3 linked regions of the Arabidopsis thaliana genome follow. The protein of the gene in region 2 interacts with the protein of the main gene of each other region in a pairwise test. Each region holds a gene or a part of one and is shown on either strand. Other genes may lie near its edges.

Evidence for each region.
Region 1: the proteins of CSTF77 (region 2) and FIP1 interact in a two-hybrid assay, tested with the Arabidopsis thaliana proteins (one study listed by BioGRID).
Region 3: the proteins of CSTF77 (region 2) and AT1G66500 interact in a two-hybrid assay, tested with the Arabidopsis thaliana proteins (one study listed by BioGRID).

Annotation. Positions count from the first base shown.
Region 1 is NC_003070.9:9,850,538-9,854,295, forward strand, and holds the start of FIP1 (FH interacting protein 1), read right to left. Parts: upstream 1,913-3,758; 5' UTR 1,764-1,912; coding exon 1,538-1,763; intron 1,453-1,537; coding exon 1,351-1,452; intron 939-1,350; coding exon 667-938; intron 38-666; coding exon 1-37.
Region 2 is NC_003070.9:6,114,622-6,118,379, forward strand, and holds the start of CSTF77 (Tetratricopeptide repeat (TPR)-like superfamily protein), read right to left. Parts: upstream 1,997-3,758; 5' UTR 1,651-1,996; coding exon 1,597-1,650; intron 1,493-1,596; coding exon 1,430-1,492; intron 1,345-1,429; coding exon 1,235-1,344; intron 1,096-1,234; coding exon 995-1,095; intron 694-994; coding exon 632-693; intron 555-631; coding exon 414-554; intron 299-413; coding exon 170-298; intron 1-169. UniProt on the Arabidopsis thaliana protein: One of the multiple factors required for polyadenylation and 3'-end cleavage of pre-mRNAs. Required for the targeted 3' processing of antisense transcripts that triggers transcriptional silencing of the corresponding sense gene.
Region 3 is NC_003070.9:24,810,908-24,814,665, reverse strand, and holds AT1G66500 (Pre-mRNA cleavage complex II), read left to right. Parts: upstream 1-2,004; 5' UTR 2,005-2,153; coding exon 2,154-3,404; 3' UTR 3,405-3,586; downstream 3,587-3,758. Other genes in the region: AT1G66510 (AAR2 protein family), read right to left, coding at 22-114, 220-446, 565-694, 892-951, 1,126-1,183, 1,298-1,380, 1,690-1,785.

The sequences.
Region 1 (3,758 bases), 3.7 Mb from region 2:
GGTTCACTGCCTTCAGCTGATTCGCCGGAAGTACCACCTGATCATCACATCAAAATCATCAGCCACAGACTTTACAAGGAAGAATGACAGAAAATAGACTGCAAGTGCAAGGTTCTCAAGGAACGAAAAAAGGTTCTCAAGAACCACCCAAATCTTAAAATCAGTTTTCCAAAGATCATGTTGTCAAGAAGCTTTCTGCTTGGTTTAATAGGATTTCAGCTCATGTTAGATGTTTACATTAGAACCAGTCCAAACTCTCAAACTAACAATTATTCAATGGCTCCCCTAGTTTTATCAAGAATGCTACAAGATTTAGCTTACTCTCTTAGGCAAACCACTAAAGTCCTAATTGTCTACATAGGAACTAACATGCAACTACTCAACAATATCGTTAGAATGATTATGTAGTTTCCATTTACTATAAGCGTACACACACTACGTTCTATACGTCAATAACTAGAAATGACAAGAAAATTTGTTATAGTCTATGAATCTATGTAAATAGATGCATTGAAAATGACTTAACTCACTTAACGCTTTATCATGTCACCATCAAATATTACATTCGCTGAATCTTTGTTCTCAAATAGTTTTCTTAGATGTAAATAGATATAAAATAAAAGAGTTAGAAAGAAAAAGTAACCATAGGATAGAGAGCGAGTATACCTTGTAATAGCTCCACAGGGTCTGCTCACCCTCTTTGTAAGAGAGAGGATTGTCACTAGAGAACGCAAGCTTGTGAGTCGAAAGATACATAACTCCCAGGACAGGACCAGCAGATGTAGACAAGTAGCAAGCATAGGTCTTGAGAAGTTTTTCATCAGGAAGGCAATCAAATGTTTGCTTGAAGACCTTCTCGTATCCACCCTCTGCAAGTATTTTTGTCCCCTGAGCAATTCGTGAAACAGCAGCATCTGCTACACTTGGGCCTGTTTTCACTGAAAAAGAAAGGATAGATATCAAAACGTATACTCTCAAGTCTCAATTCATATAAAATATCATCCCTCCCTCCAACCATATGTATATAATACTAATTCATCACACAAGCGGAGAAATAAAGCCAAAACAACCTATACTAGAGAAGCTTCAAGAGTCAAAGGCAATAACCAGATACAAAGAACTAATTGGCTTAAACTCAAACGGAAGAGCATGAATATCAAAATTGTTGGCTAGATTTAGTGTCGGTGGTTGAACGCGAAGTAAAATTCCGAAGAAGCGCCAATTGATGAACACTAACTTAACCAGAAGGGGCATAACCAATACCATCGTATTCTCCAAGAGACGGTAATCAGATTAATTGGTAATTCATCTAATCGAGGGGGAAGAAGAAGAAGAAGAAGAAGCGCTTACAGTGCTGCCAAAAATTTCCGGCGAGATCCTCCGCCTTCTTGGTGGCGTCGGCAGCCATTTTCCCCCATTTCCCTAACGTATCCTTCACCGAATCCATCGTATCTGTCCCCAAACCAAGATCAATCAATCAATCAAAGGCAGAAATTGGATTAGGATGCGAAATCGGATAGAGAGAAGAAGAACTCACTCCTTGGGGCAGGGGAAGGAGAAACGTAAGGATTGGATTCCGCTGGCATGGTGGTTGCGGCGGCACCGGTGGGAATAGGCTGAGGAGGAGGAGGAGTGACGTCGGTAGGATCGAGCTTAGGGTAAGGAGCGTAGTCAGAGGAGTGAGCAGCAGCCTTGGAAGGCTCCGACGCGGCGGCGGGCGTAGAAGAGATCCGGCCATGATCATGATTCTCTTGCCCACTCATGATTTGATGTTTTCTTCTTCTTCTTTCGAAATGAACTTTTTATTTTTTTGGTTTGGGTTAAGTAATGAAATAAGAGATGGTTCGAATCTCGCAGGCAACAAATAATAATTGAATTAAAATGTCTGTCCGCGTTACGTTGGCATTATTAATCGTAAATAATTTAAGTAGCCTCTTTCCCAAAGTCGGTCTAACATATATATCTCGTGCGGTCTTAAACAGTAGACGAAACTTAATGCAATTAGTTTCTGTAACGGATACTAGTATTCAATTATACCTTTCCTCTAGAACATATCCATAATCCATGTATGTACACCGGTTTTGTGCCCGTTTATCTTCCTCAAGAAATTCAGACCTTCTTCACTTACGATTTTTGTTTTAACTAAAAAATATCTTATTCTAACTTTTTGATTGCTTGGTTTATGTTTTTTAGTTTGGAGTCCAGACCATAATCCGTCCGTGTGTATTTGGACTGTAAAAACCCACATGCGGTCCACCCAATTGACAGTTCTAATCATAATAACAACAACAAAACAAGTTAGATTGTAACCGCTATTGATATACCACAAAAAATTGCTATTTTTTCCGATGAAGGTTAAGAGTGTCTTTATCATTTCGGACATTCGACGATAAAATTTTGTTGTGTTGAAAACATAGTTACCATATCAAAAAACTAGTTTTCATCCAAAAAGAAAAGTTGATTCACATTCTTCTTGATGGTATTTAAACGAATGACATTTTTTTGAAGTTTCATATAGCTCAAACACTCAACGGTTTAAATGAAGCTTCTTATATAAACCTCAAAATCAGATTGAACCTAAATGATCTTGGGAACTCAAGTCCGTATCCATAAAGCTTACTTTTTATAATCCAAGCAGCATCTAAGTTACATTTATCAAACCTTTTTCCAAATTTTCTAAGACTATATGTGTACAAGGATTTTATTCACAAAATTAACGGTGTTGAAGAAATTCTACAACATCTTTTTCCAAATCACTTTCAACTTTTAATTCAAACAGTTAACTTGTAAATAGTCTAACTCACTATTTTCTTTACCGCTACAAAATAACGACCGCCAATTTTTTACCATTTTGTTTTTACCGTTTCACTAAATTAATTAACTACGGAGAATGAGAGAATACGTGTTTAACCCATTTCGAGTCTTCTGAACCAGAGAGAGACTCTGGACGTAGTGGCGAGAAAGCAAAAGATTTAGCGAACGTCTCTTCTCTCGTCTCTCGTCAGCATATGCGTAAGAGCATCTCCATTGGTGAGATACTCCATGAGTACCTCATAATATATTATTAATATTTTAATTTAAGTAGAGAAACTTATACTAAAATTGTGCTTCCATTGGTGAAATACTCTTATGAGTATCTCATTAACATTAACATATTATTATATGTTTTTTATATTAAATTTAAAATCTCTACAATATTTTCAAACATATCAATTATTATTTTTACAATTATATTATTAAATAGTTTTATTATTTTTAAAACCATAATTAAACATAATTAAACATAATTAAACATTACTTTACATATAAAATCATAATAAAAAATATATCAATTAAACATAAAATTCCATATAAAACCATGATAACATAAATTAAATAGAAAAAATATATAAATTACACAGAAATTACATATAAAACCATGATAACATAAATCAAAACTAACTATATTATCTATTATGGTTTTACTCTTCATTTGATAATGCACCAAACTTTTGTCATATATGCTCAACTAGGTCATCTTTTAGTTGTTGGTGCATATCTCTATCACGAAGTCGAATTCGATTGCCAAAAATGTTGTAAAATAAAAATAGAAAATTTTAAATGTTTGTTTTCTAATTAAAAAAAAACTATTGTATTTATAAGTTATTATTATGTTTAATGCTTAACTAACACCAATTAAATAATATTCGTATATAATTTAAACATATATATAATAGAGCTTGTTATATAGATAATTTAATTTTATGAATTTTAAAAGT
Region 2 (3,758 bases):
TTCCTATCTTAATAACATGATCTCATGACGTGAATTATGCTCATAATGTCTTTTAGGCAGTTTAAGAGTCAATATATCCAATCTTATCGAACTCAAAAAGATAAGAAAATAATTGTACATTCAGCACTCAGCAGTTCCAAAAAGAAGCAATGGATGATAAATTCTTTACCTTGGAAGTTCCTGTTGGTGGGACAGCAAGCATGTTCCAATCAATTTCTTCAATGTACTTCTTGCGCTCCCTATATACAGCCCTGGCACTGTTAAATTTTGGTTGATACTCATTTACAAGTCCTTTTGCCTGCTCACATGATTAGATTAGATTATCCATCAACAAAGCCAAGAGAATGAAGTTCGTACCTGCTTCTTTTCATGAAAATAAGAAGCCACATAATTTTAATTTCTTAGAAGTTTACCAATTGACGGTTAACAGTATTTTCGAAGTTTTCATAATCTTTCCAAAGTTGTTCAACGTGGTGGGTCGGAGTTAATATAGCTCTATGATACACTTTTCGAAGAGCAGTCTTCCGATGCAAATCTTCGTTGAGGTTAAGAGCCTGCATGGGAATCTATTAGTTTCTCTGCAATAACAAATTATTAGTATCAAGGACAAAGTTAGAGTGATATAACGAACCGGAAGAGATTTTAGAAAGGCAATGTACTCAGTCCATATAGGCCCTGATGCGATGTCTGTCCCTGGAGATTCATAAATCGAAATAAACAACCATCTGTAAGGCCCAAGTTGTGTTATGTGTTGGCATGATAAAGGGAAACTAGAGGTCTACATAGACACGAAGCGTAACTATGTGCTTGCTATTGCTGATGAATAGTTATCATTAGCAACTATATTAAGCATAAAATTGATCAAATCATATTGTTTACTAAACATAACTGTATTCATTACTCACAAAACGGAAAAAATTCCCTCTATGTATGAGACATGATTGAAATGAAAAACAAACAAAATAGAGCCAAAACTGCGGAAGAGAAGCAATACCAATATAGTTAAGCATAAACTCAAAAGCCTTTGTGGTCTCCTCTTGACCCTCTGCTCCCTTCTTGTCGTAGACCTTTCTGATGAACCGAATGTAACATTGCCTGAGAGAATAAGATGTTAGAATTATATCCAAGGAGATGGCAAGACTTGCATTGCAGCTGAGCAAGAAACCCAACAATGAGACGAAAAGATGTTAAATTGACTCTTATCAACGACTAATAAAGGGTAACATGGCATTACCAAAGAGGAACTTGAAGGCAGGTCAACAAACAACGACTAAATATCTGTTTGGTAGCATCATCATTGTTTACAGCCATCTGTGCCTCCACATATTGCTTCCAAAATCTCGCCTACAGAGTACAAAGGAGCTCACAATTAACCAAAAACATCAGGAAACTCTTAAAATACGTGGAAGCAAAGTCATGGGAAACTTACAGAAGTGGGATAAAGTGACAAAAGCTGCTCGTAGATCGGCGTCGCCTGTGCAATTGGTGAATGCTGAGGAAAGGACACAATTTTACGAAACCCAACAAGTAAAAATCTAAACTTTATGAAAGAGTACGAGAAGTCAGACAAGTATATAGCTGGGGAAAGAATTGTACCAAAGCTCTCTTGGCCAAAGCCTCTGCTTCCTCGACGATGTACTTATCAGCCATGAATTTCACCTTCGGAAGAACAGTCTTTCAAATATTCCACTCAATGGTAATATAAGTAGACCCTAATCTGAGATTCAATAAGTGTCACAATCTTCCGACAAGTCTAGCTAAAGCTTCTGCTGCTTCAACGCCATAAAAAAAAATCCCTAGAAGGACCTCAGATCAGGAAAACAGACAGACCTTCAGAAGTTTACCATAGAAGTAAACCCTAATCTGAGATTCAACAATTTTAACACTCCTCCGACGAGTCTGCCCGAAACACGGTGGTCGGTGATACCCTATTGTCGAACGGGGAAACTCAAAGCAACCGGTCCGTCTTCAGGAAACGAATATTTTCCGCGGTTCTACTGTCCACGTGGATTCTACTAAACTTATATTAAAAATATTACGGGCCTAGATTTTTGGCCCATTAAAAGTAAGTTGGACCGATTACGGTACATACAATATCTTTTCGATTTCTAATATTTCTCTCTTTTTTTTTTTCCTTCACTAATTTCCTAAGTACATAAAACGTTAAGCCGTTAAGTTAGGTTCAAGAGAGTTGGTGTATTCGAATTTGAAGTCTGATAGATCTTTGGCGGGATTGAAATCTATTTTGGCCTAGGTTCTTTGGAAACATCATGAATTACTCTCCATTTTTCGTACCACATGTACTAAACTAATAATGCTTGTATATATACACTTTAGTAAGCATTATATAGCTTTTATTCGTGAATTCACTTTTAACACTTATAAAGATACATGTAAAATAAGAAATTAATCATAAGAAGATATATTTCAATGAAATAGACATGTAATATAAGATATTAATTAATTCATCAATTTCCAAAATCAAATCAATTTAAGTTTCTAGCTCTAAAGTCGATACAATGATAACTTTAGAGATATGAGCCTAATACTTTATACTCAACGTTAATAGATAATTATGGAAATGAACATCATATCTAAATTAATTTAAATGACGTAGATGAAGAAATTTCATTTGAATGTTATAGTTATTATACATAGTATAGGTAATTTATTATAGTTTGAATCCTAACTAATATATTTGTTATATAGGGCGAATACATAGTATACTGTATTTGCTAATAAGCCCTGGTTTTGTTGTGTCTTGCCATTGATGTTGCCTAGAGTCGTAGTTCTTGCGTTGCAATGCGTTTTGCTATGGTTGCTTTTTCACTAGGCACTAGAGGAGTTAGTAAGACTATTGGTGTTCAGTGTGGCGTTGAGTTGAAAAATCTAGCTCTCAAAAATCTAGCTCTGTACTATGCGACTTCGGGAAGGAACTTGGTAGGGTGAGCTCACATTGTTCACATTCTTTGGTTTGTGGGGTTTCGTTCTGTGAGAGCTCATGGAATCCTTTGACGGGCCGTTGACGGCACAGTCTCGGACCTCCTGTGAAAGGCTTCTAGTGTCTTGTATCTTGGTAATTCGGCTCTTCAATTTGCATTCGCCCTTCGTCTCAAGCATCAGAGCCGGGAAGAACTTCAAAATCGTCATCACTTCGTCTTACTCCATTAGCATTTGTGCTTATGTTTGAGTGGATGGACTGAAAATGTTTCTAAGATCTATGCTTCCATGTTTTTTGCTTTTTTTGTCATGGGACCATTTCTTTAGGAGTATAATCTTTGGATTGTAAACCTAAATTGTTTTCATTTTTAATGAAATATTTACATTCTTAGCAAAAAAAATATACTGTATGTACGTAAAGTATGCATGGGTTTACATTTTAATTTGGTAATACAATTTTTTTTATTCGTGTGCATGAAAATTTTGTAGCACACTTTAAGACCAGATTTTTGTCCCCTATTAAGTATTGCCTCTTAGTCTAATAGATTGATATTTTGGAATTTTTTGTTTCATAATTGATTAATGTTTTGTTTCAACATCATTATTACTTTCATATGTTATCAATATAGAAAGAGAAAAACATAATTAATATTATTAAATTTACAAAAACTTAGCAAAAAAGTAAGATTACTTATTCATGTGCGAAAAAACTAAAACATCGTTCTGTTAGGATTTAGGAACATAGGTAGTAGTTTTTTTTATCGTATATTAAATATCTTTGTTCTAAATTAGTAATTATGCTTATTTCACCCATCCAG
Region 3 (3,758 bases), about 19 Mb from region 2:
GTTACGGTAGGTAGCACATACCAAAAATGCAACAAATGAAAATTGTAGCTCCCCAAGTAGCAAGTCTTCCGAGTCTTTGTACTCTTTTGACAATACGCTTTCTAGCAATTGAGTCTATACAAAGAAAAATAGAGGAAATGGCTTCACATGAATTTTGAGATTCAAAGTTCAAACATCTACTGAAAATGTAAAGAGGAAGGATCAAGTAAGAGGAGATACCTTGTCAAGATTCATAGAGGTTAGCTCCTGTCCAGACATTCCCTTGTGCTTTATAATCCGAGGAATAGACGTGTAGTAAAACCTATTCCCTTTAGGTTGCTCAGTAGATGATGTCGTAAACTTGCTTTTTTTCATCTGCGTATCAAGTGCTATTTCCATTGCCGTTTTAGGTCCACCTTTTAGAATAGCAGATTCATATGTGACTGTTATTTCTCCTCCAACTGGCTCTGCAAAATTGAACATAAAATTTTTGAACAAGCCAAACTTTACAGTGTTCACTACTCGAGTGAGGGAAAACATTAACAATGTGGTTAAAGAATCCTCCAAATTATAAGGTTCACATACCAAACTTTTCAACAACATCCTTTGTAATGTAGTTAGATAAGTGCCTCCACTCCCCATATTGCTTTAAATTGTATGGGCCAAGATTTTTGTCAAACTCTAAAGACCTGACTGCTTGAGAATATCTCTCTTCCTAGCAACAAAAGAGCAGAATAAATATAAATAAGCCAGCACTAATTCTCAAGCCTACTAACTAATGGCTCATGCAACATGATTTGATTATATTCCTATCTAGCAGGCATTGAACAAATATCACAAAGAGGCAAATCGCTGACCAACATATACGCAACATTGAGAAAATTACTGCACTAGGTTATTAAAAGGACATACCTCTTCTTCAGACACTTTGGTTAACCACTCGTCTTGCTGATTCCATTTGCGTACAATAACCTTGTATATTCAACAAAAGATAGTAAATATATATCTACTTACAATATATACAGTTTCATGGTGCTACTAACAGGATATCACAGAGAGACAAGAACATTACTAAATGTTTTCTCTGTAATAGCGATCTATATAGATAACTACAAACACAAACTATTCAAAGTTGTGATTCCAAACCTGAGAAGGGGCAACATCAACAAAGAAGCCAATGGTGGGTGAAAACTCTCTACCATCCCTGAAGATAAGAAAATGAAAGTCTGCATTATCAGCCAAAGCATATCGATAACCATGGTACGGTTTTTAATGAGTACGACATCACAAATTTAAAAAACCATTTAAAGACTTAAACCTTGTCGATGAACTATAGAATACAAAGTGAATTCCAGGAGGTATCATCTTAATCCCTTTGAAAGCTGGTCCAACTGCGAATATCTGTAACCACAATACAAAACATTGTCGTTATAGGCCAATGAATATGCTCAAGAAATATGTTTCACAATCATACAGAAATCAAAATCCATAGCCAATAAAGAATCTTCAAAAGCTCAAAAACCTCAAATTTTAATCATATTCAAACTCAAAATACACTTTCTTCTCGAGATATTTACTAAACCAAAAAGAAACTATACAAGGAGAATCAGTTCCACATTAAAAAGCTTTAAACTTGGAATAAAGTAACAAACTTTGAAACTGAGAAAAGTTGAAATTCGATAAAAGCTTTAAACTTAGAAGTAGACAAACCTGAGTATCGATTCCGACCAGTGTATATTGAGGAACATCGAGAAATAGAAGTGTAGCTCCATGCTTCACAAGCTCTAGTGCCTTCTCAGAATCCATAGCTTCCTTCTTCTTCGTCTTCACTAATTTAGCGTCGAATTCAATAAAGAACAGCAAAATACAGAGCGGAACAACGAGTAGATTCCAGAAGGCCCAATTTAACAGGCCCATTAACAAACTGGGCCTATAAACCGTGGCCCAAAACACGTGACAACGCGCGATTCACGCGGTTTACTTTATCAACCGACATAAACGTTTATTTATAGAGAAACCTATCTTCGCGTCTCTTCAGATTCGTTTTATTTTTCAATCGTTTCAATTTCTAAAATTCTCCTCTCTCAACGCAATCACCAAATCCAAATTTAGGGTTTCTTTTCTCTTTCTGCGATCGATCTCTGAAAACTCATAACTGTTGTTTAATCGTGAAGATGGCATCAAACGGATCTTTCTCTGCTCAGAGAAACGCAAACGCTAGAACAACGATGAAGAGAAGAAGCGACAATCGCGGTTACGGTGGCGGAATCGGAGGTTATCAAGAGGAGACGAACCGTTACGCGCCGCCGCAAAAACGTTTCAGATCACAAGCGCAACAGCAATTCCGATCTGGTCATAATCCTCTGTATCATCATCATGGTAGTAATAATAATAACGTGTCTAGGGTTTCTTCTCAATCATATAACAATTGCGGTGTTGATGTGATTGCTTCTAATTCAAGTTTTGCATTACGTAACAATGATTCTAACACCAACAATTATCAGAAACCCTTTGTTGCTGGTTATGGAAACCCTAATCCCCAAATTGTTCCTCTTCCATTACCTTATCGTAAGCTTGATGACAATCTCTCTTTAGATTCGTTACCTGATTGGGTTCCGAATTCAAGAACCCTAACTCCGAATTATCCTGTTAGGTCATCGAATTTTGTACCAAACACTCCTGTTTTTACGAATGTTCAAAATCCGATGAATCATTCGAACATGGTTTCAGTTGTGTCTCAATCTATGCATCAACCAATTGTTTTGAGCAAAGAATTGACTGATTTGCTTAGTCTTCTTAACAATGAGAAAGAGAAGAAAACTTTAGAAGCAAGTAATAGTGATTCTTTGCCTGTTGGATTAAGCTTTGATAATCCATCGTCACTTAATGTTCGACATGAATCTGTGATTAAGTCTCTGTATTCTGATATGCCGAGACAATGTTCATCGTGTGGGTTGAGATTCAAGTGTCAAGAAGAGCATAGTAAACACATGGATTGGCATGTAAGGAAGAACAGGTCGGTGAAAACCACTACAAGACTGGGTCAGCAACCGAAGAAATCGAGGGGATGGTTAGCAAGTGCATCTTTATGGCTTTGTGCAGCGACGGGAGGAGAGACGGTAGAAGTAGCATCTTTTGGAGGAGAAATGCAGAAGAAGAAAGGAAAGGACGAAGAACCAAAACAACTCATGGTGCCTGCGGATGAAGATCAGAAGAATTGCGCATTATGCGTAGAGCCGTTTGAAGAGTTCTTTAGCCATGAAGATGATGATTGGATGTATAAAGATGCAGTCTACTTAACCAAGAATGGTCGTATAGTTCATGTTAAGTGTATGCCTGAACCCCGACCTGCTAAGGATTTGAGAGAGCCTTCGAGGGTAATGTCTGTTACAGTTCCATCGGTTGCGAAAGCTATAGCCTGCTGATTGAGATTTTTAAGATCTCTGTTTTAGTCATTCGTTTTTTTAAGTAATGTACTTTACTTGAACAAGTTGTAACACAAATACAGTTCTATCAATTGAATCTCCTATTTTACTCTTATCGCCTCTTTACTCTTATGTGTCATTTAATGAATATTCATGCTTCTATATCTCTGTTTTAATCGTCGTTTAGTGTTGAAAAATCATCAAAAAAGTTGTAACTATATTAATCAGAAAAGATTAACGAAATGCTTTAGTTTACACTTAATAACAGAGACAAACGTGAAGCTCGTCTTCTTTTGATTCTCCTTAGGGTTTCTTACTTCGAGAAGAAGACAGAGTAATTCTCACAAACTTGTT